Linked DNA regions of Caenorhabditis elegans. The protein of the gene in region 1 interacts with the protein of each later gene in a pairwise test. Each region holds a gene or a part of one and is shown on either strand. Other genes may lie near its edges. The genes, in order: spsp-1 and abu-15.

What was found.
Region 2: the proteins of spsp-1 (region 1) and abu-15 interact in a two-hybrid assay, tested with the Caenorhabditis elegans proteins (one large-scale study listed by BioGRID).

The regions. Positions count from the first base shown.
Region 1 is NC_003279.8:7,343,127-7,359,271, reverse strand, and holds spsp-1 (uncharacterized protein), read right to left. Parts: upstream 6,858-16,145; 5' UTR 6,766-6,857; coding exon 6,730-6,765; intron 6,665-6,729; coding exon 6,175-6,664; intron 6,126-6,174; coding exon 5,958-6,125; intron 5,913-5,957; coding exon 5,736-5,912; intron 5,690-5,735; coding exon 5,628-5,689; 3' UTR 5,569-5,627; downstream 1-5,568. Other genes in the region: F07A5.4 (Olfactomedin-like domain-containing protein), read left to right, coding at 206-307, 357-449, 644-758, 818-1,018, 1,222-1,334, 1,381-1,509, 1,769-2,032; scav-6 (SCAVenger receptor (CD36 family) related), read right to left, coding at 2,145-2,457, 2,504-2,577, 2,629-2,905, 3,207-3,317, 3,363-3,492, 3,587-3,734, 3,804-3,899, 3,945-4,014 and 4 more; inx-14 (Innexin-14), read left to right, coding at 7,199-7,385, 7,429-7,638, 7,686-7,969, 8,042-8,293, 8,340-8,621, 8,666-8,717, 8,761-8,798; kbrl-1 (NF-kappa-B inhibitor-interacting Ras-like protein), read right to left, coding at 9,220-9,296, 9,396-9,819, 9,870-10,111, 10,765-10,843, 11,105-11,211, 11,743-11,908; gcsh-2 (Glycine cleavage system H protein), read left to right, coding at 12,551-12,611, 12,774-12,853, 12,900-13,199; glb-18 (Globin domain-containing protein), read right to left, coding at 13,588-13,764, 14,179-14,307, 14,541-14,726, 15,146-15,196, 15,239-15,353.
Region 2 is NC_003283.11:5,152,203-5,168,372, forward strand, and holds abu-15 (Activated in Blocked Unfolded protein response), read left to right. Parts: upstream 1-6,399; 5' UTR 6,400-6,420; coding exon 6,421-6,645; intron 6,646-6,692; coding exon 6,693-7,634; 3' UTR 7,635-7,705; downstream 7,706-16,170. Other genes in the region: srh-130 (Serpentine Receptor, class H), read left to right, coding at 234-537, 587-780; srx-38 (G-protein coupled receptors family 1 profile domain-containing protein), read right to left, coding at 1,855-1,972, 2,021-2,151, 2,207-2,418, 2,465-2,688, 3,064-3,224, 3,276-3,314; srx-39 (G-protein coupled receptors family 1 profile domain-containing protein), read right to left, coding at 4,451-4,556, 4,599-4,729, 4,772-4,983, 5,028-5,251, 5,317-5,477, 5,520-5,558; abu-6 (Activated in Blocked Unfolded protein response), read right to left, coding at 8,476-9,417, 9,466-9,690; abu-7 (Activated in Blocked Unfolded protein response), read right to left, coding at 11,194-12,285, 12,333-12,557; srw-140 (G-protein coupled receptors family 1 profile domain-containing protein), read left to right, coding at 13,524-13,627, 13,901-14,495, 14,554-14,777, 14,823-15,039.

The DNA.
Region 1 (16,145 bases):
AGTTGTGAAGCGTCTCTCGTGTGCAAAACTCGAGTAATATGATGTAAAAAACCGCGCGAAAAAACTAATTTTCTTTTTTTGGGAGTCCATTTACTACCTCACCACCAGTTTTTTGTCTTTACTCTTCACTTTATGGCTTTTCCTTTTTTCAATATTCTAACTTTTTTTTAGGTTTTCTTTGTCAGTAGATGCATATAAAGTCGTCATGAAGTTGGCGGAGACTCTGAAATTTGGAGCTCCATGGGTGTGTTTACTATTCTCAATAGGATGGATATTCTATCAGAATATACAGATTAATGAGCTTCAGGTGATTTATTTGAGATTGGTTACCACTTCAAATAGTACAATTAATTCAGATAAATCGACATAAACGAGAACTTAACTCAAATCGGCTACCAAAGACTGACGATGACTCGACAATTTTTATGCCAATTTATGCACAAGTTTCAGTTAGTTTAATTTAATTAATTTTATTAGTCCTTGAAAATATCAGACCAGAGCTATTCAAAAATCTAACTTTTCGAGTTTAGCGAATTGTTCACCAAATTGGAAATTGCCAAAAGTGTAGAACTCGATTTTTTTTCAAAATCGGCGAGAAAAATCTAAATTATTACCGAAACAAACAATCCTCCTCGAATTTCAGAAAAAGCACATTCGTAAAGTTTGCATGGAACATTTTCATTCTCTGAAACACTACAGAGAATTGGAGAAAAAAGAGCCATCTCGAGTTTCTGCAGTTGTGAAGGAATTAAAGAGAAGTATTGAATGATTCATGATTCCTTCAGAATTTTCCATTTCGTTTCAATTCAATTTTCAGAATGCTCCGCCGAAGTTTCATTAGGGAAGCCGGTTTTTATTGGTGAACGAAAAAATTCAGAAGGATGTGCTTATTTGGATGGTGGTCACTGGCATGTTTGTGAAATGTCACATGGATACACGATGCTCTCTTTTAAAGGAAATCGAAGATTGAATAGCTCAGAAACACGGGCGGTACAATTTCTACCGTATCCGTTTGATGGTACTGTAAATTTTTTCAGTTTTTCACTTTAAAAAATTCGGTCTCCGCTCTCGCCTGAACCGAAATATTTTTAATAAATTTAGATTTTTTTAATCTGAATTAAGATTCAAACATCCATAGACTTCATTTTCAGTCTATTTTTAAAGTCCCGTTTGGCAAATTTAGAAGACCCATTCCAAAAACGTCTCAAACTATATTTTCAGGAACCGATAATATGGTCTACAACAACACAATGTACTACAGCGAGAACGATCGATTGATTTCATACAATTTGAAAACTGAAAAATCGAACTATATACCTTTGAGAACTTCTTTGGTACTGACCATAATCGCTATGGGTATTCTTAATTTCAAATGTTTAGAAACCTCTCTACGCAAATTCTACATCTCGGCTTGACGTACAGGCAGAAGAACATGGAATATGGGTGCTCTACAGAAGACAGGACGAGACGGTTCTTACAGTCAGTCGAATAAACTTCCACACCATGCAAGTACGTTATTCTCTGCGTTCTCTATTGTTTCGCGTATTACATCTCCTGTACATCATGCTGTAGTCTTTGAAAAAACGTTTTACATTTTCCTCGGAGTTAAATGAAGAGAATATCTGCAGTGCAAAGAATAATTTTTTTTTAAATTCACAGTTTTACTTCTGTATGATTAGAGCACAACATCAGTTTAAAAAAAAGTTTCTCGGCGAAAGCCATCCGCATAAATGCGCTTCTCTCAAAAAGCAAAACATTGTTATTTCAGATAGTTTCTAATTGGACACTTCCTTCAATTGACACTTCAACAATGTGTAATGCGTTCGTCAGATGTGCAATTTTATACTCTGTAGAGTGTGATGGAACTGTGACACCTGTCTATGACTTTTATAGTCACACATATATTCAAGGAAGAACTACAGAATGGGAAGGACTTTCTCAGCCAATTTGCAATGTACAGTATGACCCTAATAGCAAATCAATTGCTGTTTACGCAAATGCAAAGATCTACAAAGTTCCCGTACAACAATAACTACATTATCATAACTATCAGTAAAGTTTAACAAGCTTCAACTTTTATCAACAATTTTTAGAACACATTAAAATTTATTTTATTGCAAAAGTACATTGAAAAACAAATAAAATCACATTCTCCTTAATCCTCTACTTTCATTTGAATTGGAAGAAGATGTCGAAGATAACCAATTACTTGTCGTTTCTAAGAAACTTGTTTTCAAAGGTCTAATCAAAGACGGTTTTCCTTTTCTTAATTGAAGAAAAACTATAATCGCCACCAGAAGAAGGCCAATTCCAAGAGCCACAAATTGTAGAACCCTCATCAATCGAGGCACTAATACAAATCCGAGCCATACTTCATTAAAAATGAATTGGTGATATTTCGGTGATGTATCCTGCCAGAACAGTGGAATCATAACATTTGGCATATTTTGACTACTTCTGAAAATAGTTTGAATTTTTTAAAATTGAATTGTATTTAACTTACGGAACATCATGAGATCGAATGACTGGCATATTCACTTGAAGACGATTTACAACTTTTAATGTTGTTCCACTATACTAAAAAACAATTATTTCCAAACTTCAATGTCCAATTTAAACTGAACTCACAGGTTCATGGTAATAAATCATTGGCTCATGTAGGCTTTTATTGGGAGCCATTCCAACTACAGTAGTCCGTACTTCATCTGGAGAGAACAGGAAATGAGGAGGAGAATAAACAACGGCAAATGGTGTTGGTTGAAGTCTTCCTGGATAGCATACAAGTGGAAACATTCCAGGTGGTAGAAGGTATGTTCCATTATATAGGGAACCATCACAACATGCATGACAGAAATTAATTGACTTTGAACAATCAATAGAGCCTGATTGATGACATTGACCTTTTCTGAAAATCAAAAATTTATAATTGAAGTTTCTCTTTTTCACTATTATGTATTGTTGAATTAAATCATATTTTCAATCAATCATTTCGATCGATCCCCGCCCCATTGGGTCCCGGATGTCTGTCACTCTCTAACTATCTACACTCTCTGTACCGGTAATACTATTCGTTCAGAAAAAATCTCAATCTTTCAGGAAATCTTAAATCAAATTTCAGACAAAAACTTATCAGCTTTTTTTTCAGAAAAACTCCAAAATTTTTGCTGCAAATTAAGAGAGTAAAAATTATTCGAAAAAAAACTTACGGTGGACATTTTGGCCAGTCAGGAAAATAGTTTCTCTTTTCAATATTTCGATAACGGAAGCCCACATTGTTATCAGATGTGGTGTCCCATTCGTCGTACCCAATATGATAACTGTGAAAAGAGGATTATTTATTTGTTTTGTGACAACTAACACACCCAATTGTTGGAATTGACTCAATCGTTTCCCTCTGGTAAAAGGTTTTTGTGAATGATCGGCACATGAATGAAAAGAACATATCAGCAGTTGATGACTCGTCCAAGTGCATTTGAGTGAAACTTCCAGAATCTTAAAATACTTTCCTTTTGAATGTGTTTAAAATAAATTGCATTAAAGTTCAATAAATTCAATTCAATTCAATGCGAGATAATGGTCAACTCACCACTTCCACGAATACTTCTAGCCTTTGGAGTAGTCCACCATTCCCCAGGAAGTTCTGTAATTCCAGCCCATCGCTGAACATTTCCTATTTGGTTTATATCTTTCTTTCCCGTTTCAATCCAATATTCCTCATCTCTTGAGTTGTTATACTGAAGATATATTCTCAATTCGAAATATAGTTCCCGATCAGAAATTAGCTTTCAAAAGAATCTACAAACCCCTTGAAAATATCCAAATTTCGGCATAGCTGGAATCGGAATTGGAACGATACTTCCACCATCTCCTTTGAATATTCCTGATAAAACTGTCACGAACTAAAAATTAGATTTACAGCTACTTTTTTTAAGTTAAAAAGTTACCCCTGAATGAGCAGCGGACAGTAAAGCATCCTCGTAACCGTCAAACAGAACTTCACGAACTTTATGAGAACTGCAAACTTATTTTAAAATAAGTTAAATTCGGTGAAAAACTTACACAAATGGATATTCACCAAGAATTGTTAAAGCCACTGCAATAATTGTTCTTCCCGTTTTTGTGATTTGGAATTGTGGATCTAACATTGAAGCAACAGCCCCCTGAAAACAGACATGAAATCAAGTTGAGGCGCCACGTGCACTCGCCCGCTAATCTATCAAAACTCACCAATCCTGGTGGATTCGGAAAAACAATATTTCTGTCCCAGTCACAATCTTCACACGAATAATCTTTTGATAAAATATACTTTTTGTAATTTTGATAAAACATTTGTGATTTATCATCACTGAATTCCAGATATTTTTTCTGCTCACTTTCCCTTCAAATTCGGAATTTAATTAACATATCTATGAGGAAAATTCAACTTACATTACAGAAAATGGACCAATTTCTACCAAATTTGGTGCAGCAGAATAGTATTTCACTTCGTCTGGATTTGTAACATTAAAAAAGTAGAATTTCATTATATTATCCACTTGAGGACTTGTATATTGAAATGCAGAATATCCTAGACTGGTATCAGAATTTTCAGTTAGTTGTAGGTTCTGATATCATGCAAGTTTAGGAATTAACTTCACTTTTCACGGGAATACCTTTATGACCAGAGTACTGTAAATTGAAGAGAATGCCGCCCAAGTAACAATTCCAAACACAATAAACACAATTGCAATAACAACTAAGAATACATCTAGTTTATTTATCCGTATCCGAAAACCCATTTTCTGAAAAAAAAAAAGAAACATATAAACCAATTGAAATTATCAAAAATCGATTTAAAACAGAGTCAGAAAGCATGTAAATATGCTGTCTATATGGTTTACGTGGCTTATCAGACGAATTCTTTATTATCAGCAGCTAACTATATTGTCGTACATTGAAATGCCCTGGTTATCAATGGCAGAAAACACGTTAGATGCAGCTTCAGGTGAATGCTCAAAGAGTTTGCACTGATCGTATGGGTCGAACTATACTCCAGAGATTCGTGGAGATTTATTTTTTTTTTTAATGATTCATAAAAATTGATGGTTAAGAACCTATCGTAGCTACAATAGAAATTCTACACGGTCGAGGCGAAGAGTGGGCGTCAGGGGGAGTTTGTCAGTATAAACTTTAGATGTAGTAAAAATGTTTAAATGGTTAAACAAAACAGTTTGAAATTTGAAAATTGTTCTAACTATCAATCAAAGTTTTGAGTTGATTTCCCAATTTTACTGAACTATTAAAAGTGTACAAAATCTTCAGATGTTTTGAAAAACTGTTCACACCATTGAAATAATTTCGGACATTTCCTACTTGCTGTAATTCATTGTTATTTGTTTTAAAAAAATTAAAATTATAAGCTGTTACCTCTCTAAATTTGAAAACTTAGTTTTAAAATTATCAACTAGCTCTAGCGGTTCTATCGTTCATATTTTTAAAAGCGTCTTCAGGGCGAAAGGAATCGATTTTTTAGAACGTCAACGGCCAATGGGACCAAATAAAGAATTAATCTCAAATTACTTAAACATATTCAAATCATCATTTTATTCTCTAGAAAATCAATCAGGTGATATCATTACAGAGATCAATCATTTTTCAACACTATGTGCACGATCCTTCCACAAATCATTGTACTGGCGACCAGTGTCAACTGCAAAAAAAAATAGTTTTTTATTACAATGACTCAAAAATCGTACTCATGGCATCCGATACTGTCTCTCCAAGCTCACGAATCGATGAATCGACATCTCCGGATGAAGATTTTCTAGCTCTTTTCGAAAAAGAAGATCCCTCATCAGTGAAACGAACACTTTTCGAGTTAACGGAAGAAATAGATTCACGACGCAAAGGACGTTTTCGTGGGCTATTGATACCTTGAAATGAGTAAATGAGTTAAAGGTGATTCAAGATAAAACTACCTGGAGTATGCTTCTTCATCGGTGTTGGTGGTGGAACAGGTTTGAATCTTCCACGAAGATCTGGATGAGCATTCATCAGAGAGAGAGCAACAAATGGAATTCCGTCAACCAAAAGCTCAAAAGCTTCAAATTCTGGATCTTGTGCGTATTCAGCAACAAATCCACGAACTGAAATATGATCAATTATGTGAACTTTCAAAACAATCTCAGGGCTCACCTTGATTACGAGCAGCTGGATTCTTGATAATTGCAAACTTTTGAACTGGAGGAATATGCTCCTTCTTTGGTAAAGATTTTCTCGAAAGAGATCTTCTTTTTTTCATCGGAGATTTCTTCAGAATGCTTTTACGACTGGAACCTGGTGATTTGTTGGATCTATTGCGTCGACTCTCAATTTCAGCTTGCAAAAGTCTTCTTCTAGCACTTTGCGAAATCTTGTTACGGTTCCCAGAAGTGTTTCCAATTTTCGATCTTTTGCTTGAAATAGATCTTTCAGATCCTGTTCCCGAGAATCCAGACGACGAGCTACGAGGAAGCTTGCTTTTAATTCTTGGTCTTGATTTACTGGAACTAGTAGTTGAAAGGAACGAATCAAGACGAGAACGACGGCTTGATGATGGAGTAGTTCCAGTTGACACGAATGTAGAATCAGATTCTCCATCATAAGAACTACCAACTGAAGAGAGAAGTGATGAGAGAGTATCTGCCTGTAATATTTATAATTTTCAAAGTTGTTAGAAAGTTTCATGCCCGGACAGAAAAAACTACTTACCTCATTGTGGCTATTGTTCGAGTTAGACTTGGCCATCGATGGTTGTTGTCTATTGAATCGAAATATTCGAGCTTGCAAAAAGTTTTAGTTTCGAGTACTGATTTTCTTTTGTTTTTCGATTCGTTTTCCTCATCGATATTCCAAAAAGATAATTTCAAAGGCCAAGGTCACGAAAATATTATTTCTAAATAACTTTTTTTTCAAGTATTTGATTTTTATTCCAATTCGAGAACTCTGAAAGATTTTCCAGGCCTGAAAACTTTAGTAGCGCGCCGGACCTATAGCCGGATTAAAAACACGCGCCTTTAAATATATCAGGGTACGGTAGCCGGGAGTTTCTAATTTTGCGCACTTTACTCACCAGCAACTCATTTTTTCGAGGATTTTCGCCTATCGTAAGCATTATATTTGTTAGGTTTTAATAGTTTCAAATAATTAATTTTCTGTGTATTTCAGTTCTATTCGCAAAATGATTTGGGAGATCCCGATTATCGGCGATTTCATCACCAAACCGTTCAAAGCGGCGAAGCTCTACGAATTTTACGATCGACTTCACCTTTTCACAGTTTATCTTCTCGGATTCTTTGTTCTACTCACTGGTGCTAAACAACATTTCGGAAATCCAATCGATTGCATGCTCCCGAAGCAACATGATGGTTTCAATAGCGTTAATTTTCATAAATTAATCTCAATTTTCAGATCTGAAATCGTGGCGCGACTACATTCACAATTTCTGTCTTTTCTATGGAACTTTCCGATACGACGTGAGCAATGGAACGTCTGAATTTGGAAGTTACACTGAAGATGCATCTGTCAACTATTATCAATGGGTTCCTTTCTTCTTTGCATTTCAAGTATGCTGCTTTCTTCTTCCTTTCTGGTGCTGGGCATACATGCAAAAGCTTATTTGTACGAGTTATTCTTCTGTAGAGTAATATAAATTTTTAATCTTTCAGACATTGACATGGCTTTCATTGTGGATTACTCTGGAAAAATCAACAGCGAGAAAACGTTTGAAAAGACGAAGGAAAAAGTGGATCGAATTGTGAATTATATGCATGATCACTTCAAGTTCCGTCGTGCCCACAAAATGGGATATCTATCGTGGATCACATTTAACTCAGCTTTTCCCAGTGTCTTGTACAGTCTCACAAAGTTATTTTTCATAACTAATGTGATTATTCAAGTGAACTTGGTTTGCAAATTCTTGGACGTTGATTCGTGGACTTGGGGTTTTGATGTGAGTTGAGCAAGTTTTTGATATAAATTGAATGACACTGATAATAAAAGTATGTCTTTTTTCTATTTTCAGCTTCTCGGCAAATTCATTCACCCAACTCCACGTGCTCCCGAGTTCTCCTCGTTTTCCGACAAACAAAGATTCGCGGCAATTCTCACAGACGGCAGTTACAATCGTTTCCAGTACTTCCCAATTCTTGTGGGATGTGAATATCAGTTGCAAGAATCAGTTAGCAACTTTGTGAATCATAAAGCTCAATGCATTATTCCGATGAATGTGATTAACGAGAAAATTTTCATTGGGCTTTACTTTTGGCTTCTTGTGGTACGTTTTTTCTCCTATTGGCCACGATTTTCAAGAATATTTTCAGCTCACCGCGCTCTCGGTAATTGGAACTGTTAAGTGGATTCTTCGTATCAAAAGTAAGAAGCTCAACGAGGTGATGATCTACAAATTGATCAAAAAATCATTGGAACGAGAGCCATTCGACAGTAATATTCATGATCACCGCTACAACTTTGTTCACAAGTACCTGTGTGCCGACGGAATTCTTTTAATTTATTTCATGATGGATACGAATGGATTTTTGAAAACTGAAGAAGTCATCGGTGCTCTTTTCAAGAAATATTGCTCAGACGCTGGCCTTGAACCGGTTGGTTTTTGATAAATATTGTACTTATTCTAATATCCCACTAGTTGCAGACCGCTCCAACTCTCACTTCAAGTCCAAGAGATTTGGCTTATTCAGGTTAGTTTTTCAAATGTCTCCCTTATACATATATTTATTCCAGAAACCAATTACGGATTCGCTGCACCGCAGAAGATTTAAGTCTTTTCAACAGTACACCATAATTTCACAAAGTATTCTGTCTAACATGTTTATCTATTGTTTGCTCCCTCTTCTTTCTCAGGTAAAGTTATTATTATAACTGTTTTATTCATTCATTTTATTATTATCATATACAAAAAATGAACCTGCAACCTGATTTTGAAAAGTTTTTCTGTTTTGGTGAATAATGCACAAAAAGAAGCATAATTAGACGTACATAAGAAAAAGTTTGCTGACCGAGAATACTGATTAAATTATATTTTGGGTGCCTATAATGTGATGAAAAATTATGCAAAGAAAACCAAATAAGAAATGGGAGGATGAAGGCACAGAGAAGGAGCTTGATAATTATGGCCAGAGAAAAGTGAAATCACAGTTTTTGGTTATCACAAAGAATATTAGAAGAATAAGAAGTTTGGGGTCAAAAGTCCATCAAGATTGCTGGATTTGAAGATTTTTCTGATTTCAGCTTCTTTGAGAGCGAGAATTTCGATTCTTCTGAAAAAGAAACGATAATTTTTTTAATCTTTCAAAAATAAAAAAAACAGTTATAGCTTTTTGGGTAGATTGCAAAGTAAAGTATTTTTCAAAACTTACTGGTTGGATGGAAATGTCGATGTCCTACATAATGAATGAAATCGACTAGGCTCTGCCGGTCCTTTGCAGTAACCTCGAATAGTTTAACTTTTTCTCGTGCAGCCCAACTATGTGCAAAAGCACTGTCAACTGTCGCCGGTCGATCTCGCATATTGGCAAGGACTACGATTGGAACTTCTTTCTTATCTTTTCCAAATTGTCTGTCTATCCATTTTTTCAGCAAATCAACTCTGTTAAACGATTCGTAATCAGCAGATGAATACACAAGAACAAATGCGTCTGCAGCTTGTACATATGCCTTCTTCAGTTCAATCGGTCCGTAATTTGAAACTCCTGCCGTATCGTGCAATATAAGAATCTCTCGAGCTTTGTCCGGTTCTTCCAAAAGAACTTGATATGTGTCTTCGATCGTTGGTTCATATGGCTGAAAATTAGAAATTTAGAAACCGAAATAATTATTTTTAATCTTCGAACCTTATTCGTAACATCCTCAACACATGCGACTTGCCGCAGAATAGCTGTCTTTCCGACTTTTTTTCCTCCAACTACAACCACCCGCATTGCTCTCCCCATTCGCCGGCTTCTAGCCGGTTTGATTGAATCGCTTCGGAAGGTTCGAACACCTTTTTCTTCCGATCGTTCCACAAATAATGGACGCTCCAAGTCAGGATCAGCGACTGTACGGTAACGGCCTTGATGATTCAGATAATCTTTTTCTGAAAGTTTCTTGTTAATCATTTAATGAATTTTTGGTAGATTGATGCCTATTATGTTTTGAATTTTAAAAATCTGTAAAGTATGGCAGAAACATAGATTAATTCATTTTTCAGGAAATATTTTTTTAAAAAAGCACCATTTTCTTCATCAATACTCATATCTCTTCTCCAATTCACATTGGTTTCCAAGTCGAGAGCAGCCATTGATTGTGATATCGGAGCAGCCGCTTTCAGATATTTTTTGGGTTTGTTTTTGAATTTCATAGAAACCGTGTTTCTTAGTTTAGAGTCGGACATGACTTGATCCAAAAACAATAAGAATAGCTAGGGAAAAGAATGATAATATGGTAAGAAAAATGCTTGAAACTAAGTGGTGCATAGAGGGAGGAGTGCACATGCCATAAAAAAGTGATAAGAGTTAAGCACAGAGGACGCTGTTTGATTTAGACGATGACGTGGCACTGTTTAGGTCATAAAGTGGCAAATGGGGAAAATTAAGAGACTTTCTCATTTTTTTTTGGATAGAAAAATCTGTCTTTTTTCAGTTAGTGGTTCTCACTGTAATGAAGTTTTCTCTTAATTTTTAGATTTTATCTTGCACTTTTGTCTTTTTAGTTTTTGAAATAAAACTGGGCGAAATTCTAATAACCTACCAACACAAAGTGAAGTTTTTCTATCTGCTTTGGCGGCGTCAAAGAAGGTCGCGGCTAACGAGAATCGACGATTTGTGGCCTGCAAATTTAATTAAATTTCAACGATTCCAAAATTGAAATACTATAATTTTTGTCTTTATATTGAAAATCACCTTTTTGTGCAAATTTCGATGCATTTTAGACAATCGCGGAGGGGATTGATTTTACAAGAAATAAGGAAAATGTTTCTTTTTTTTCCAAAAACTTGATTCCCATCCTCTTTATAGCCGATATTTATTTACAAAAGGACCAGGATTCAATATAATATTCTTTCTGCTGACTCATATTCCTATGTTCTCACCTTTTGAGGGACGTCTAGAGATGGAGTCGATGTGGCGTCGATTCGTGAAAGTGCTCGCGGAGTTACTCCGAGTGAAAACTTCCGAGAACTCGGACGGATCCAATTCTCTGAAAACATTTTATGATGATTTCGAAAATATTTTTTTTTTTGCTTCGAAACGTTTTTGTTTCAAATTTAATCGCCTCGGATAAAAGGGATTAGTGGATTTCTATTCTATTTTGATCGGATAACTTTAGTTTTTCATTGAATTTATGCCGAAAGCTCCCCTTACCACCACTCATTTTCCAGATGAATATGTATGTTTTAAACGGAAATTAGGAATAGTTTAATATTAATTACAGGTGGAAACACGATGACTAGACGACGATCGTCCGAATGTTTGTGTGCTTTTTGCTTTACAGCATTGATAAAATGTTTTGAATGGGTGGATGAAAATAATAGCACAATAGACGGGGTGGAGACGCAATAAAGCACCTGTGGCTGCTCTTTTGAAAACGAGAGTTTATTGCAATTTGATATTCAGAAGAAATATTTATTCTGGGAAATTGAATTTTTCAGGTGGGAAAACTACGAATTCCGAGGAATTAATGCAATTCATAGATAATTTGGTTTTGATTCAAGTAAATAAAATGATTTACCTTTAAATAGATAATATAGAAACTCACAAGAATTGGACGCGGAACCAAAGAATCGAACTCGCTTATTGGTTAAATTGTCGCCAACTCGTATGCATCTTCTGTGAAATCTCGTCGGCGTGTTTGCACATTTACCGGTTTTTACGTGTTTGTTTTTCAATTTGAGCATTTTTGAGCAAAAAAAAGCTCTAAACCGATCACGGAAAAGTCATTTCAAACTGGCTTCTTGAAAGATTTATAAAGTGAGTAAGTTGTGGGTTTTTGAAAAAAAAGTCTAAATATATTGTTAGGAACTTTATTGAATGGGCTACCCTCAAAATCCTGAAAAGAAATTCTGAAGAGAATAAAGGTTAATTAACATAGAGTGAGAATAAGTGAAACAAAATTGTTTTGGAAACGAAACATTGTCTCAAAAATGAAAACATTTCCATGAAGGTCATGAAAATATATTTTCACTCTCTTCGAATCTAACGCCTCTGAATTTAATACGAGTGTTCAATTTTATAATCTTCCTTCCAACATCTTTACAAATATGATCCTTTTGTTCATATTTAAGTTTTGTTTATTAAATCACATAAACACATTAAATTTTCAAAAAAAACTCCAAGACAATCATTGCCCTCTGATCATCTCATACCTACTAAACTTCTCTATCTTTCCATCTATCCTATTTGTCTTTATTTTGCAGTTTATATTGCCTTTATCTACTACTGATAACGCATTCGTCCGACCCGATACTTTTCTTTTTCACTACTCTAAAATTCTTCTTTTTTCTTTGACATTTTCCATACAACTATTTTTGTTTTCAGGTATGAACCAACTTTGTCGTGCTGTTCCATCTCTTCGTTCCGCTGTCAGATTGGCCTCATCTGGTACGTATTTTTTCTTTCATTTTCTGAAAATCATCTAATTTTTGCCAAATCAAAGATTGTTCAAGATCAAGCAGTAAGAAATACTAAAAAAATTTAATTTTCAAAGTATTTTATTAATTTAAATTCGGAAAAAAAGTATAACATCGAATTTTTTGATTTTAGGTCGTCTATACACGAAGAAACATGAATGGGTGCTCGTAGAGAACGGTGTTGGAACCGTTGGAATTACGGACTTTGCAACGGTTAGTATTTTTCAATATGTTCAATTTGCATATTTTTAGTTTCCAGGAACAACTCGGAGATGTCGTCTTCATTGAGCTGCCGGATGAGGGAACTGAAATTTCAAAAGGAGACTCAACTGGAGCTGTTGAGAGTGTGAAAGCCGCTTCTGACATTTATGCACCAATCTCTGGAACTGTAACCCAGAAAAATGTGAAATTGGAGGAAGAAGCCGGTCTGATCAACAAGAGTCCATTCGAAAAGGGATGGTTGTACAAATTGAAAGTTAAGTCAGCAGACGAGCTGGAAAAACTTCTTAACGAGGAACAGTATGCAAAGTTCAAGAAGGACGAAGAAGCTGCCCACTAAACAAACACCTTTAATCTCTGTATTATAGTTATAACATTCTGGTACTGGTATTCATATTGAATTCGTTTAGGTCAGAGTATAATGTATTTCTTTTGATATTTATTTTTTATTGTTAATTAAACAATTGTTTAGAAATTGGAAAATATTTTAATGCAAATATTTACAAAAAATGAGGTTAAAATGTGAATGGCAAATAGTTTTGTGAATTAAAAATTAAAATCCCTGTTTAGCTGGATTTCATCACGCCATTGTAAATTCAAATTGAAAAACTCTAAACAACGAAAGAATTAAAGCAAATATTATTATTAAAGTTGAATCAAATTGAAGAGAAAACGATCACAGAGATTGGAGGCAATTACGGATAAGATTATGCGAACAATTGAAAACATTACACTAAAGGCGGAAAACGATTGACACCTTTCAGACCATCAATGAACCCATTTCGCATGTGTACAGTTGTATATAGTGCCAATGTCCTCCACACCGTCACTGCGTCTCTTTTTTGATTATCGTCTAAATCGGTCATAATGGAGAGACGGTGTTCTAATGCAAATTCCATAGCGTCCTGAATAATAAAATTTATAAAATTTCAACGATTCATAAAAACCAGAATTTCATAGTCAAAAATTTGTGAAAGATATTCAAAATTTAGAAACAACTATTCCGATCAATTATTTTCAAATCTATATTACGTAGGCGTCTGCAGATGATAATTTTCGGCAGATCTTACGCGCATGGGTCTCGCCACGCGAACAACGAGTTACTGTAACTCGTGTCGATTTACAGCCTGATATTGCATCAAATTAAATGCCCAAGAATCGACGCGCGTTGCAGTACCTTGATTTCCGCGTGGCTAGACCCGTGTGCGCAAGATCTGGCGAATTCGCGCGAAAATTAGCATCTAGACGTTTACTTAACAGTGATCAGGCGAATTGCCTTAAAAACACAATTTCCAAAATCAAAATCACTAGGGTCTCACCTGGAAAATATCCCAATATTCATGCTTGAAACCTCGATCCGCAAATTTTACATGCTTCTGTCCGACCATGTAAAGAAACGATTCCGTCCTTTCCATATGATAAATATTTTTGACCACTTGAGCTAATGTCTAAAAATTTCGATGGTTCTTTCAAATATTTATAATTTATCGTAATCTTGCAAAATTCTGAAACACGTACTCGAAAGAGCACATATTTCTTTGGATGGGTCTCGCCGCGAAAATCAAAAATTGCTACCATAAACTTTTCGCGCGGCGAGACCCAACCGAATAAACCCATCAGCCTTTAAATACGCGTTTGACCACGAGAGACTCGCTAATTTATTTTTTTTAAAAAAACGAACCTGTACAAATTTGAGAGCCTGCGACCTGAATTCTTTTGACTCTTTCCACTCGTCTCCCTGATATTTCGAAATGAACGGGAATAATTGTTTGCAATTTGGGTTATGATCAAAAATGTAACAATAGATTGCTGATCCCAACTCGTACAAATTGTCAAACTCATCTGACCACGTGCGTCGGAGTAATTCCTGAAAGAAGAGATTCATCTCTTATTCACTATTTCTTCTTTTTTTTTGCTTTTTTATGCACATTGACTTTTCGATCTTCTAATTTTTGAAAACTTTTGTTCATGGAAAAAACTGAACAAAAGTTATAGAATTACTTCTCGATTTAACCATAAATAGACGTACTTCTAAAGTGAGTACTGGTTTTTTTTTAATTTGAAAGTTTACAGCTTGAATGCTTTGAAGAAATGGTTAGGATGTACCCTAGTTCACATACAATTTATACATATTTGTTTTAAAAGTTCTATTTGCTATCACACTACAACTTATTCCAGGCCCACATCCCTGGCCAAAAGTTTTAAAAAAAATTAAAACTACTCTGACCAATCAAATTGTCAAAAATCAACTTTTTTAAAATTCCTATTGTTCAGTTCGGTGCTTACCTTTTCATACACATTTGGCTCCCACTTCTCAATATCACCTTCAAAGACTTTCTGAAATAGAATAATTATAAGTAATAATATCTCATAACAAACCTTCGAACCGTTACTGTATGCAACATTGTTAGAATCACTCATCCTTCTGTTTCCATTCACCTTGTTCTTCCTGTTCGCCTGTGGTGTACTGAACGAGGCGCCCTTTTCGGATACACTGAAAATCAAAACTTTTATTACTTAAACATAATTATTTCCTTATAATATCTCAGTTTAATACAACCGTGTTTGATGAATTTTAAAAAATCACCGAACTTCATCGGATTTTTAGGTAGACTGCAACTCGGCCGGTTTTTAATTTTATTAAAAAATTGCCACAGTGCAAAATGAATGAATAGTAGTAATTTGAAAGCAGCCGAGATGTTAAAATTGGAGCAGTGAAAAAATAAGATTTAATATTTAACAAAGTTCCATACCATCTCAATAATATCATAGTTGTAATAAATGAAAGTGAAGAAGAAGAAGAAGAAATCGAGATTACTGAGTTATGAATGAGAAAACAAGAATATAAGGCAGTGTCGGAATAAGTAATATGTCCATTCGTTAACGAGTCAATTTGATGCAGTTGACACGCCTTTCTCTATGTTCTACGAGAAAAAAGGAAAGCTTAAATAGAATGTTTTGATTGAAAACTAAATTGAATAAAACATTACTTGCATTTCACTGAAAACAAGGTTTTCTAAGTCTGGAACATGTTGTAAAAGGAAAGGTTAAAAGATTAATGAAATGAGTCTTGAATTTTTTTTTTGAAATATGTTATCTATGAGCTATGAGACTATGAACTATTAAAATTCAATTTTTTAAAAGTTTCGGTTCCCAGTATTTCCCAAAATTCCAATACATATTCTAGAATCGTACGTGTGAATTTATCTTCTACCCATCATATGATTATGATGAGAAGAGAAGAGAGAAGTCGACGTCATGAGAAAAAAAGCAAAAAAAAGTCCGT
Region 2 (16,170 bases), on another chromosome or scaffold:
CGCACATTTTGGTACGGAAATTTCAAAGAAAAGGTTTTAAAAGTTTTTGAAGATAAAGTTTCATTACACTAATGAACATTTATTAAAGCTAGAATTTACTGAAATTGGTCAAATCTCGCTGCAAGTGCCAGCTTTCTTTTTACATGTAGAACCCTAAAATAAAATAGACCATTGAAACATATTTTGAAATAATTTTATTAAAAAATCTTTAACTATTTATAAGCAGCTTTCAGATGCTTCCGTGTCTGCCTCAAGAAATATTTGATCATCCGGATTTTTACGTGTACGCCATAGAAATCACTCTACTCACTTTCATTATCGGCTCTGCGGCATTTGTGATAACTGGTGAAGTTATATTTTATTTTACGAGAATTGTTGTATATTTGTCCAGCACAAAAGCTAAATCACAGAAAACGTATAAGCTTCAATTGCACTTTTTTATTTGTTTAACTATTCAAATTACAATTCCACTTTTAATAGTAATTGTTCCGATTGTTTATATTGTTTTTGCATTTGCAAATAGTCATTTTGATCAAAGTAAGTACACCTATATTTTCACACATTGGTTCACAAGATACAATTTCAGTTCTCAACAACATTTCGCTCAACATAATGGCTTTTCATGGACTCATTTCAAGTGCAGTTATGCTTACCATTCATAAACCTTATCGTAAAGCTGTTTTGAAAATGCTTGGTTTCACCTATATAAAAACGAAAGTCAATAGAAGCGCAGTACACATGGATGGAACATTTGTTGTTGTGAGTAACAATAGGTTTTAATGGTATGCTTGAAATTTTGTTGGGTATCTATTTAAAATAATCTTTTGAAAGTGAAAAGTTTTGAAATAAACTGTTATATCGTCTGTTTCACTGGGTACACCTGAGATGTTTTACATAGAAGTCGGGACAGTTGCCCAAAAGTTGCTGGTTGTCGAAAGATTAAGTGTTTGACAACAACAGAAAATGCCGGCTGCTAAAAATTTTGAGGTTCAGCACCTGCGACAACTACCGAAATCAGTTTCTAATATTTTTTGTTCTGAAAAACGCATTCAGAGATCCTAAAAGTAACGCATTTACTTGATCCACGGAAACACCAATGCCCCATCTAAAAAAAGAAAATAAAAATGTACGTCAAACTTGCTTCGCCGCTACTTCCAGAACTATAACGCAAATCTAATTTGTTCTTATTTCTTTGACACAACTTATTATTGAGAAAGAGAAGGTGGTGTAATGCTGTCACAATGTTATAATTCAAGCTCTATATAATTATCTTCCACGTGATTGAGGAAATAAATTCAAACATCAAGGTTGGCCTGTCGTGGTTCAGAGAACAAATTTTGATTGTTTTGTTCGGTCAAAAAGTATTATCCCAGAAAGCTTAAAAATTGGGGCAAATGTAACTTGGTTTTTTATTTGAAAACAATTGTACGACTTGTATTAACCAATATAAAAGGAAAAGCAGAAAATCTGCCCATTGTCGAATTTGTTTTTGCTAACTGAACTCAGACTTGAACCCACTTTTTCCGATTAACTCTTATGATTATAATAGTGTTAGGCTCTTATTCCAACAGATCGAAACACCAAGAAAACGGGTAATTCTGGAATGAAAAAAAAAACTTCAGACTATGAAAATGATCAGAATTAAATCATGAGTAACATAAAATACTGGGAATCCGGCTGGTCTGATTTCTTGGAACTCAATGTGTTCGTATCAATTTTATTTTAAAAATATACAAATAGTGAAGTTTGAAAGAAAACCCGTGCTGTTCTGGAAATAAATATTGTTATTTTTCAAGCAATCAACAAGCAAATTGTCAAAAAAGAATAATTAAATATTAGCTTAAAATAACACAATTAACGAAGTGAATTAATTGTAGTGGCTTTTGACCTCACAGCGCTCACGACCATGACTGTGGGCCGCGTTGAACTAATTTTTCTGCGAATTTCCGAATTGAAGATCAGTGTGAATATTCTGAATATTAATATTTTAAAAATTTAAATATTTTTAACGGGGATATACCCATCGAAACAATGAACTGATGACCATAAAATTGAAGAGAATATAAATGTGAATTGCTTTTCTGGGATAAGTCGTGGTCCCCATGTGAAACAGCAAACAATGACAAGAACAAATAAAGTTTGGCTGAGGGACTGGAATTTTCAATAAATATATTTTTTAGTTTATGAAAACAGTTTTTGTGAATACCTGCTTTAATAAACTCAACTCTTTCGAGTTTTTGTCGGATTTCGACCGCATTTTCACCACTTTCCCAATTGCAGTGAAATCCAAAAGTGTGCTGGTAATGGTTAGAGTGAAAACTTGATAAAAATCCCCATAAGTTCCATACAAACTACAAATTGCCCCACCGGAATATTGAAATGCTCGGTATTCTGCGTTGTAGTAATTCTGGCAGCCCACTGAAAAGATGACTTGGTTTTTTTAATTGATAATATGAAAACTTACAAATTTGAAAGAACAAAGTGATAAGTATAAACGAAAGTAAGTAGGTAGCCATAACAATTAGTTTGGTAAATGTTATACTGAACATTTTATGATAAAGAACTGGAGTAAATACTGCTAGAAATCTGTTTAATGATATTATAAAATGAAAATATGTCGAAGCATCATAGCATATCATCAAAAAGTACCCACATAGATGGGACCAATAGTCCAGGAATTCGTTTTGGCTGAAAATGTGTAGGAATACTGTAGACTGGAGTACTGTAGGGTTACTGTAGTTTTGAAAAAAATGAGTTTTTGTTTTTTGAAGGAATATCGATATGGGGTTTTTGGAGTGTCGTCGAGTAGCAAAAAACATTTCAGCGGGATTTTTTCAATTTTTCAAATAATTTTGGCGGGAAACTTAATTTTCTTTGAGAAACTACCGCACTACTATGTAGATATACGGAACTTCTATAAAATTCGAGACATTTCTGTAAGATTGCCCAAAAGGCAATTTAACTGGATTATATGTATACATTTTCAAATTAAATTTTTTTGGAAAAACCAAAAAAAATACCTATTCAATTTTGCCCGACATATTGTTTTATTCAAAAACTTACAAAAACACCATAGGAGTTGCGTAAAACAAGTATAAAGTTGAAAATACTCCATCGGCAATTGCCAAACCAACAGTTAAAATAGCAAATGGTTTTTGCAATTTTGTAACCTTTATCATTAATATTACGATCGCCCAATTTGTGAAAAACCCGCATGAAGAAAACTGAAAAAAATATTGCTAAGTTGGAGAAAAAAAGTTCGAATTTCAGCTCACCACAATCATAATTGCAGCAACTATTTTTTCCGAGATCATATTTCGAAACAGAAAACAAGTATCCTAGACCAATAGATATTTTGACCTCAATCCACTTCTATTTATTGGGTGGAGTCAGTGCCACACCTGCCATTTAACGAGTACCTGCAATGAACCGAGCTCTGAGTTGATTAAATAGAAGTGCATGACAGAGTGAGGTAGAGATGTTTTGATTTTTCAATCGGTTAAGGTTTGTATTGGAGATTTTTTCGTAGACATATTATTTAAGCTGTTAAAAAAAATTTAATAAAATTCATGTTGTTCAGAGAAAATTCCTAATGTACGTATTACTCATCGTTTATTATACCCCTAACAGAACAATTAACTACCACCCTTTCTTGTTTACGTGTAATCGTCTCCCCACACAGTTTAAATATTCTCTAGTTTTTTGTTTGGTTTCACACACAAGAAACAATTCAGAAAGAATTAAAAATGGATGTTTCAAAAATACTGTTTTATATATACTATAGATTTGGGAAGGATGCAAGTTTGAATTCCCTTCCAATTAATTTCCTTCCACTCATTTTTGAACCAATCAACTTGACACAGTTTATCTGATTGGCTCCAGAAGAGTGGGAGGAACGAATCACTGATTGGCCTTACTGTTTTCATTTTGGGGGAAATTCAAACTGGGAGTTCATTCATACTCAAATTTAAATTGGAAGTCTAATATGAAAATATTAAACTTCCGTGGTGATAAAAACAGAAATCCTTTTTGTGCTCCATATAATTAAAATTTAATAAACTAGCTGGCAAATAAGTGGCGCAATTACCAGATTTTTTGCTTTGATTTTTGCATTTTCTATTCATTTTTGGTTATCTTATAAAACTATACATTGATGTACAATTTATCTAAGGAAAAGGAACAAAACCATTGGAGCACGCACAAAGTACCATATTTACGATTTTTTTTGATTTTTTTCCACTTTGATGATTTTCTTGCAGCTTGTTCTTAGAAGATGGGAACAAATGTGACTTTGATCATGCAAATCATAAATTTAAAATGTACATATTTTTTCTTTACAAGCACATGTTCTGAACCAAAATTCATGATATAAAAATAACTCAGTTCCTAAAACCCTAGACAATGACAATTGGCTTGAGCATTACAATTCCACTAACAAAGACCTCTATTCTTAATCCAATGCAGCCGATTTCGATCTAACAACGTTGAATGCCAGTGGCTGGCCGCTTCTGGAACAGCTCCTTCGGATTTCTGGATTGAAAATCAATGTGAAAAACCTAAATTAGAACTTTTTGAGTATTTAGAATATTTACAATTACCCATCAAACATATGCACTGAAGACCAGAGAATAGAAGAGAAAATAAAGGTGTAATCAATGTCTGGAATAAAACGCGGACCCCAAGTAAAACTACAAACGATTGCAAGAACAAATAGAGTTTGGCTTATGGACTGAAATTATTATTTAAAACAATCTATAAAGATCAATATTACCTGTTTCAACAAGCTAAGTTCTTTTGAGTGCTTTTCTGTTTTTGAGCTAATTTTTAACACTTTTCCGATAGCTAAAAAGTCCAAAATAGTACTGGAAATAGTCAATGAAAAAACAAGATAAAAGTCTAAATAAGTTGCATAAAAACGACAAACGTCTCCTCCAGAATAACGAAATGCTCTTGTTTCTTGGTCATAAAAATTTTGACATCCCACTGCAACTCTCCCGTCAATTTTAGTTGACATTAAACTAACCTACAAATTTGAAAAAATAGTGTTATGATTGTAAGTGCGTAGGAATAAATTCCCATTACTATACAAAACGTGAACAAAACACTAAACATCATACGATAAAGCATTGGTTTATACACTGCTAGAATTCTGTTAAGGGATATCATGAAATGAAAAGTTGTTGAAGCACTGTAGCAAATCATAAGAACATATCCACAAACACTCGAATAATTTGATAAAATATCGCTCTCGCTGAATGGAATTTTTATTTTAACTGTTGGCCTCGCTGAATGAAAAAAAAAACTTGTTCAACTTACAAAAATACCATTGGAGTTGCATAGAATAAGTAGAGCGCGGAAAATGTTCCATCAGCAATCGCTAGACCAACAGTTAAAATTGCAAATGGTTTTTGCAACTTTGTAACTTTTATCATTATAATCACAATTGCCCAATTTATTGTAAATCCACAGAGGGAAAACTGAAGGTACATCAATTTGTTTGAGCTACAATAAAATCTTACCAAAAGCATAATTGCAGAGATTGTTGTCACGGAAATCATGATTGTAATTTGCAGCCAACAGGAAATGAAAAAGTTAATGTTATGAATGAGAGAGAAATATCTGGAAAAATTGAAACTTTCTTGTCAGGCTCGAGTCACCTGGGCCGGTGGCGTTCAGCTACAATACAAACATAGTTTCTTTCACATTTCGCATAGATACAATTTATTTTTAAAAAATCCGTTAGGCTATTAACTAAATGTTTTTATACCTAATTTTTTAAACTTTGAAATGTGTTTCAAAGTGAGTTCAAAACTAAAATTTCAAACTCTAGAGATCCCGGAAGCTAGGAAATCCCAGAAGCGAGGCAGCAACCACTGTAGCTCTATACAATCAAATCGAAAAAATGTTCGGGTCTGAAAACCAACTTATGTCATGCATGACAAATCATGTAAATTAAATTAGAGTCGAAATTTGTCGTTCTTACATGTCTACGTGTCTATGTGGTTCATTGATTCTTTTGATTTTCGATTAGCTAGAACGGTTCAAAAATTTAAACAAAATTAAAAGATAAATCTTATAAAAATAGATTGCTTATCGCTGTTTGCCCTTGAAAACTAGTTCTCATGTGCGAACCTTGCGTGAACAAGGTCATAGAGCAAACTCAAACAAGACCTCTCTTCTTTGCTTGCGCAATACTACAATTTATTCCTGTATTAGCTCGGAGTTTTTTAGTGACTCGATAGCTTACTTGAAGCTTTAGGCGAACGCTTTTGCGCGCGGCCGCAAGAGAGAGTCACATTTAGAAGAGGATCAGGAAATTAGGAACTGGAACCGGTTTACTGAGCAGCTGGAAAAGTCATATAAAAGAGAAGAACAGAGCTTCATTACCATCCGATTTCCTCGGTTCGAATCATTATTAAAATGCGCTTTACTTCACTTTCTATTGCGTTCCTTGCATGTGCCCTTGTGGTATCTGGAAGTGCAATCCGTGAAAAGAGACAGTGTGGATGTGCTCAGCCACAGCAGAGCCAATGCTCGTGCCAACAAGTTCAACAGACTCAGTCATGCTCGTGCCAATCTGCTCCAGTTCAACAACAATCCCCATCCTGCTCATGCGCTCAGCCACAACAAACTCAACAAGTTCAGGTACAGTTCATTAACATATTCGCAAACCATTAAATCAAAAATTTTAGGTTCAATCTACTCAATGCGCCCCAGCTTGCCAACAGAGCTGCCAACAGCAATGCCAGGCTTCTCCATCAGTGTCCCAGTGCCAGCCACAATGTCAGCAACAGTGCCAGGCTCAATGCACTCCAATGTACAACCCACCAACCACTACTACCACCACCCAAGCTCCAGTTGTCCAATACCAACAGTGCCAACCAGTATGCCAACAGCAATGTCAATCTACCTGTGTTCAACAACAACAACCAGCAGCTCAATGTCAGCCACAATGCCAACAACAATGCAATGTTGCCTGTGATTCCCCATCCACTACCACCCAGGCCCCACAAGTGATCCAAATCCAACTCGAGATCCAACAAGCTCAAGCTCAATGCCAACCACAGTGCCAGCAACAATGCCAATCTTCATGTGTCCAGCAACAGCAACAATCCAACCAGTGCGAGCCAGCTTGCAACACTCAATGCTCTGATATCTGCCAACAAACTGCTCAGGCTACCCAACAAGTCTACAACCAGAACATGAACCAGAACACCAACACTCAAATGTACAACCCATACAATACCAACACCAACCAGAACGCTAACTGCGCTCCAGCTTGCCAACCAGCCTGCGACAACTCCTGCACTTCCCAGCAGACTCAGCCAATGTACCAACCATACGACACCACCACTGAAGCTCCAGCTCAAGTCATCCAGATTGTTCTCCAGACTTCTGTTGCTCAATCATCCCAATGTGCCCCACAATGCGAACAATCCTGCCAACAGCAATGTGTTCAGCAACAACAGCCAGCTGCCCAGTGCCAAACTGCCTGCCAATCATCATGCTCTAACTCATGCCAAGCTGCTCAACCAGCAACTACTGCCTGCCAGCAGAGCCCACAACAGAGCTCCTGCTCTTGCCAAGCTAACTACTCTCCATGCGGAAATGGACAATGCTGCCGCAGAAAGTAATTTAATTGTTCCTGATTCTTGATTTTTGTATATACCGAAACAATTCAGTTTCAATAAACGCATAACTTTTTAAACCTTCTCGCTTTAAAAATCTGACGTGACATAAAAATAACCAGAATAAACCAGTTGTTTTCGAAACACAACATGTTTATTTAAAAACTGTTAGCGTCTCTTCTTCGACTACATTTTTAGAAAATCTCATAAACATTTGTTCAGTTGGCATTGATACAGGTTTACGTATGTTCTATCTATTTCTGTACTCATTGAAAAATGCTCTCATCAAAGAAATATTTATAGAAAAGTTAGATTTACAAGAATTTTCTAGCTCGCCAGCAGGAGTTTAGAAACTAGAGATTAAAAAAAAAAAGCTCACTGATGAAGTATTTTAAATTCAATTTAGTTTCAAATCGTTTAGGTTCACGACTTTACGTGTTTCACTACCACACTGTTCCTTCATTACGAAAAATGTAATACGACCTTAGAAGTTAAAATTTATTTTAGCTTACAATTAAAATTGCTACATACTTTTTCTGATAATACTTGCGAGTGATAACTTTATAGCGATATATCAAAAATGTTTTCCATTTTCATTAAAATTAGTTTTACTTTTTTAGACAATCTGGTATCTTGATATGCAATACTCGTTACATTATTATTTCAGGCATTCACTTTAATAATATTTCACTGTTTCCGATAGTAATGATTATGCTAGTTTGTGAACCACTTTTCATTATACAGTGAAAACTTTGAGATTCTGGAAGACACTTTTTAAAAAGTTATGCGTTTATTGAAACTGAATTGTTTCGGTATATACAAAAATCAAGAATCAGGAACAATTAAATTACTTTCTGCGGCAGCATTGTCCATTTCCGCATGGAGAGTAGTTAGCTTGGCAGGAGCAGGAGCTCTGTTGTGGGCTCTGTTGGCAGGCAGTAGTTGCTGGTTGAGCAGTTTGGCAGGAGTTAGAGCATGATGATTGGCAGGCAGTTTGGCACTGGGCAGCTGGCTGTTGTTGTTGAACACATTGCTGTTGGCAGGACTGTTCGCATTGTGGAGCACATTGGGATGATTGAGCAACAGAAGTCTGGAGAACAATCTGGATGACTTGAGCTGGAGCTTCAGTGGTGGTGTCGTATTGTTGGTACATTGGTTGAGTCTGCTGGGAAGTGCAGGAGTTGTCACAGGCTGGTTGGCAAGCTGGAGCGCAGTTAGCGTTCTGGCTGGTGTTGGTATTGTATGGGTTGTACATTTGGGTGTTGGTGTTCTGGTTCATGTTCTGGTTGTAGACTTGTTGGGTAGCCTGAGCAGTTTGTTGGCAGATATCAGAGCATTGAGTGTTGCAAGCTGGCTCGCACTGGTTGGACTGTTGCTGTTGCTGGACACATGAAGATTGGCATTGTTGCTGGCACTGTGGTTGGCATTGAGCTTGAGCTTGTTGGATCTCGAGTTGGATTTGGATCACTTGTGGTGCCTGGGTGGTAGTGGATGGGGAATCACAGGCAACATTGCATTGTTGTTGGCATTGTGGCTGACATTGAGCTGCTGGTTGTTGTTGTTGAACACAGGTAGATTGACATTGCTGTTGGCATACTGGTTGGCACTGTTGGTATTGGACAACTGGAGCTTGGGTGGTGGTAGTAGTGGTTGGTGGGTTGTACATTGGAGTGCATTGAGCCTGGCACTGTTGCTGACATTGTGGCTGGCACTGGGACACGGATGGAGAAGCCTGGCATTGCTGTTGGCAGCTCTGTTGGCAAGCTGGGGCGCATTGAGTAGATTGAACCTAAAATCATTAATTTAGTAGTGTTTGAAATAAATGCATAAAAGGTACCTGAACTTGTTGAGTTTGTTGTGGCTGAGCGCATGAGCAGGATGGGGATTGTTGTTGAACTGGAGCAGATTGGCACGAGCATGACTGAGTCTGTTGAACTTGTTGGCACGAGCATTGGCTCTGCTGTGGCTGAGCACATCCACACTGTCTCTTTTCACGGATCGCACTTCCAGATACCGCAAGGGCACATGCAAGGAAGGCAATGGCAAGTGAAGTAAAGCGCATTTTAGTAATGATTCGAACCGAGAAAATCGGATGATAATGAAGCTCTGTTCTTCTCTTTTATACTACTTTCCCATACCCCCACCCTCTGTACCAGACCTGAAACTTCTTGATTTCCGCTCTTCCGTTCACTTTTCGTCTATGTGTCTCTCATTCTCTTTCCGGCCAAACTGTTTGCCTTATAAAAAAGTGTTCGTGTAAAAAAAGGTGCGGTGAGCATTAGAATAAACTCTCTAATCAAACAAACGTGTGTCGAGGAAAAAGGTGAAAACTGGTATGTTGCAAATTGGAAACTTTAATTTTGGAATGTGATGTTCCTTGATCTACATTATGTTACGGAATCGTTTATCTGAAGTGAATTTTTAACGCTGTTTTGTTTTCTTAAAGTTTCGGAAATATTTTATTTTAGGTTTTATTCAGCTTGCGGCCTTCCTTCAAATCTATACTGCTATGGAAATTTTGAAATTATTGTATCTTTTTTTATTCTATCGGTGGCGAACTATACCTCTTTTTATTTAAAATTTACAAATGACTGGTTATGAAGTTGAGACAAGTGAGCGTTTAGTTTCTAACTGACAACTTGTTATATCGTGCTGCAATTTGACAGCTTGGGAAGAATGTAGACAACAAATGTGTTATTTGCCAAATTTGAGAAAATACGTGTTCTAGAAAAATAATTTTCGATTTGAAAAATACTTAAATTATTTTGAAATTTTAGTTTCTCATTTTAATTTGGTTGAACATAATTTGTTATCCTCTCTTGTTCTTATTTGTATGCAATTTCTGAAATTTGAAATTTGGAAAGTTTAAACGTAATGCAACTTTAATAAATACGCTATCAAATTATTTCCCGGAAGATTAATATGTTTATCAGGTTGATAGGGCGTTCGATGAATATGACACAAAAAATGTTTAGTTGTATCTGCTAGAAACTGTTTCAGAAGATATTTGTCAGTCTCATTATTTGTTAAACTCGAAATTTCTCTGATTACTGTAGAACCTTTCAACAGTAAACTCGTATAAGCTTGTATGAACGAATTAAACTCGTTTTAAAAATAGTATCGTGAAAGTGTTCACCATATCTCTCCAGCTGATCGGCGTAACTTTTTGATCTATTCGTAATATTTGTTTGCCCCGTCGGCAATTGTGCAAAGATCATTTTCCCACCCGAAAAGAGGCTCTTCACGCTTACGAGCTGTTTCTGCGCCCACTCCAACTGATCAAAACTAGAGAACAATAGATTAATCATCACGTTTTCTGATTTCTGTTTATTCGATTACGTGTAAAGTATGTATATCATTAATTTGAAGAACAAAACATTCGAATTAGATTGGTACAGGTCTATCAACATTTTTTTGTCTATTATTGTATACTGTAGAATAATTGAAAATGATTTATTTATCATATAGTCAAAGAAAAAATGGTGTTCGAAATATACAAAAAAGATTTTGAGCAACAATGGACTATTGATACCCATAAATCTTCGATCGATCGATTCGGTCTTTCTTACTTTCTGCGGCAGCATTGTCCATTTCCGCATGGAGAGTAGTTAGCTTGGCAGGAGCAGGAGCTCTGTTGTGGGCTCTGTTGGCAGGCAGTAGTTGCTGGTTGAGCAGTTTGGCAGGAGTTAGAGCATGATGATTGGCAGGCAGTTTGGCACTGAGCAGCTGGCTGTTGTTGCTGAACACATTGCTGTTGGCAGGACTGTTCGCATTGTGGAGCACATTGGGATGATTGAGCAACAGAAGTCTGGAGAACAATCTGGATGACTTGAGCTGGAGCTTCAGTGGTGGTGTCGTATGGTTGGTACATTGGTTGAGTCTGCTGGGATGTGCAGGAGTTGTCACAAGCTGGTTGGCAAGCTGGAGCGCAGTTGGCAGATCCTTGGTTGTTGTATGGATCGTACATTGGAGCGGCAGTGGTTTGCTGGACTTGGTAAGTTGGCTGGGCTTGTTGGTACACTGGCTGGGCCTGTTGGGATGTGCAGGAGTTGTCGCAGGCTGGTTGGCAAGCTGGAGCGCAGTTAGCGTTCTGGTTGGTGTTGGTATTGTATGGGTTGTACATTTGGGTGTTGGTGTTCTGGTTCATGTTCTGGTTGTAGACTTGTTGGGTAGCCTGAGCAGTTTGTTGGCAGATATCAGAACATTGAGTGTTGCAGGCTGGCTCACATTGGGTCGATGGCTGTTGTTGCTGGACACATGAGGACTGGCATTGTTGCTGGCACTGTGGTTGGCATTGAGCTTGAGCTTGTTGGATCTCAAGTTGAATTTGAATCACTTGTGGGGCCTGGGTGGTGGTGGATGGGGAATCACAGGCAACATTGCATTGTTGTTGGCATTGTGGCTGACATTGAGCTGCTGGTTGTTGTTGTTGAACACAGGTAGATTGACATTGCTGTTGGCATACTGGTTGGCACTGTTGGTATTGGACAACTGGAGCTTGGGTGGTGGTAGTAGTGGTTGGTGGGTTGTACATTGGAGTGCATTGAGCCTGGCACTGTTGCTGACATTGTGGCTGGCACTGGGACACTGATGGAGAAGCCTGGCATTGCTGTTGGCAGCTCTGTTGGCAAGCTGGGGCGCATTGAGTAGATTGAACCTAAAATTTTTGATTTAATGGTTTGCGAATATGTTAATGAACTGTACCTGAACTTGTTGAGTTTGTTGTGGCTGAGCGCATGAGCAGGATGGGGATTGTTGTTGAACTGGAGCAGATTGGCACGAGCATGACTGAGTCTGTTGAACTTGTTGGCACGAGCATTGGCTCTGCTGTGGCTGAGCACATCCACACTGTCTCTTTTCACGGATTACACTTCCAGATACCACAAGGGCACATGCAAGGAAGGCAATGGCAAGTGAAGTAAAGCGCATTTTAGTAATGATTCGAACAGAGGAAATCGGATGGTTAAACTATCTTGCAGACTCACTTTTATATACTGATTTCTAACTCTTTTTCATTTTCCGCCCTCTTTCCGCCGAGCAAACATTCCAAAGCGTTGGTAAAAAACTTCCGTTCAACTGGTGCATGTGCATCGAAACTTTTAAAACACTTGAGTAAACGGAAAATCGTCTGGCATTCGTTTGGAATCTGCCTAGTTTGCGTTAATAATGGCCTCAATACGCGCAAAAGAATTGTGATTCAAATATTAATAACCTGCACAATTTTAGTCGTGATTATTGTGCTTTGAAGTATGCACTGTTCGTCTGTGGGTATATTTTTTAAAGGTAGAGTAGCGCCAGCGAGAAAACTAGAGCACATGTTATTGTAAGGTTACTAGAAGGAAGTGTTTTTTTTTGAAAAAGTATAGACATTGACGTCTCTCAATGTTTTCTTTAATATTAATTAAAATTGTTTTTCATTTTGAAAGTTTTAAAATCAAATTTCTACGTGGCAAAGCGCGTACTCCGATTACCGTATATTTCTGGAAAAAATTCTGAAAATGGTTGTGACAAAAATATACTATTGTAAAATTTAATGGCACACAGTTATCAAATGTATGACAATAACATCAAATAAAATACGCAATAGGATTCAAATATGTGAAAACAAAAAAATCATAACCAAAAACCAACAGCTAATTAGCACTGGTATTTTGCTAATTAGCAATACTCAGCGTAGCTATGTATGACTCAATCTTGTCTCAGTTATTCTGACTGATGTTCGAAAAAAAAGCGACTATTTACTTGTCATATTTCAATTTATTCAATCAAGTGGTCTTACATTTTCAAATTAATATAATTTGTTTGAACCACCTGGCATCGACAACATTTTGAATGAGTTCATATATGAAATGTCATATATGAACATGTCATATATGAAATGTTCAGTCTAAGGCCATGGCTCAACAAGACATGTCGTTTTGTAGTCAAATTGAGGTTTTTTATCCAAATATTCAAACATCAACGGCCCTGTTTCTATGTCGGATTGCTGATGGATTGGGGTTTGTTTTATTCGTTTTTAATATTCATTTGTGTTTTGGAATGTGCCGAAATTACCAAATTTCAAAGAGAAAATTATCATAAAATTTTAACGTTTCGATCGCTGTACAGTTTGGTATATTGAGACTATTTTCTGTCTTTTTCAAAAAAAAACTCACAGATACGATTCCGCCTTTGATTGGTTCAAGATAAAGTTGTAGAGACAAACGTTTTTTTTTTTTTGGAATAACCGGAAAACCCAAAAAAAGGGTGAAATTTAAAAAGATTTATTTCAGAGCTTATTACAACACAGTATTCGAAAATGAATCTCGAGTAGCAGCTGTGAGCTTTTCAATAAACCTATTCCATTTTATAATTCTCACCAGAAAACCGATGATAAACTCATCTGTCAACATCATTATGGCTGCAATTGCATTTTTCGATATTTGCACTTTATTATATGAAATGCAACTAATTGTTCAATCCATTATTTTTCTATACACCCATTGTTTCCAATCAGGCTCATATGCATGGGTTCTTTTTAACTTAGTGCTGGAAGCTCTGAGAGATTATTCACGACGTTGTTCCACTTGGCTCTGCTTATCAATAGCTTTACTTAGAATTCTTGTCATGAAAAATCCTCTTAATCAAAAGTATATGAGGCTGGTTAACCCTATTGGAGCGTTTTATGCAATATCTATAATGGTTTTAGTTAACGTTCCTATCACTGTGTTTAATTTGATGAAATATACAATTAAGGGAATCATACGAAAAAGCTTATGCTTTCCAAATGGAAGAGTAACATATTATATGGATTTTGTCGAAGCGTTTACAAATAATGATGGGGCTCTTCTTAAAGTCGCTACGACAAGCAATGCAATTATGACGAATGTACTAATTTTCTTTTCTTTCTCGAGTTTTTTAAAAGATTACAAATTTTAATTTTCAGATTATTCCATGCTTTGTATATCCTATTTTCACACTTTTTCTTGTGTCAGAACTCAAAAAAGTGAATAAAAATAGACAAAGCCTATCATCTACGAAGAACTCGACCGAATCACAGAAGACAACTCGTTTAGTTCTACTCCTCACGGCAATGTTTTTCATTGCCGAGTTTCCACTTGGCGTGAGCACGTTTCTGACTTATTTGTTTTATGACATTCAAGGAATATTGTAAGTTAAGTCGAAAATTACTATTTTGGTAGTATATCATTTCAGTGTAATTATACGTTTCTGTGAGTTTTTGTTCAGCGTGATTCTCTATGCGAATTTTTCAAGTCATTTTATCATTTGTTTGTTAATGTCCTCTCAATATAGAGAATGCGCTATGAAATTTATTTTTTGTGGATTTTCTCCCAAAAAAGCTTTGACCAGACTGACGACAACTCAGAATAACTCCCGGAGATGGGCTACGGCTACAACAAAACTATCATAATGTATTGGACCGACTGTTCAATAACCCATAAATAAAAAAATCGTAGAAAATTTCTGAAACAATTGTGAAAGTGCACTTACTACCAAATTATTTCAGCGTCTCTGCAAATGTCTATATATTTTATTTTATTCGGCAAAATTGCCGTGCGTAACAAACTTTGAAAATGTGATATTTTTGCTGTGTTTGAAGTTCCAGGTGGTGTGTCTGCTTAAACATAAAAATAACATCAAAAAATTTGTGTTCTTTCACTACATTTTTGGGGACAAAATCAATACTTTTGGTCAAAATTGCATTGTCAAATTTTGGTGTGCGCGGCAAATTTCGAAATTTGCCGAGCTCGGCAAGTTCGGCAAGTTCGGCAAATCGACTTTATCATTTGTTTGTTAATGTCTTCTCAGTATAGAGAATGCGTTATGAATTTGGTTCTTTGTGGATGTTCTCCCAAAAAAACTTTGCCCAGACTGGCTTTAATGCAGAACGACTCTCAAAAATGGGCGACTACAACAAGACTAACGTGATTTGATGGAACGATCCGACTTTTGAATAACCCAAATGTGTAATAAAATTTCTTAAAAAATCCAAGAGGTACGAATATGTATATTTCATGTTTTGTATTCTCTGTCGTCTCTCGAATTTTATTTTTGTGTATAAATGAAATAAAAAAGAGACCAATAGGTTTAGCGCGTGCGAACGACTGGTTTTTTGATGATCAGTCAGAATAAACAAAACAATACCAATTTCAACGGCTAGAAAAATAATTAGGTAAGCGCCACCCTGAAAAAGATCAGAAAAAAACTAGAAAAAGTTTTTCAAGTGTCCAAAGAAAAAACAAAAAATACAAATTCGTTTGGTCTATTTAGCTTGATGTCGAATGGGTTGTAACTCGTTATAAAAACTGACAATGGCATGAAAATGTGTTCACCCACTTCAGTTAACTTTTTATTAATTACGATGTAAATCAAATCAAAAATCAGGATTAATCAATTGAATTTTTTTGCTAACTCAAAGCTTCTTTCTCTTTATTTAAAAAAAAACAGTGTTCTTTTAGATATATAAATATTCATATTAGGTAGCATTTAGTGCACTTGATCAGTTACATTTTTTTCGTCAAGAAACAATATACATATGATA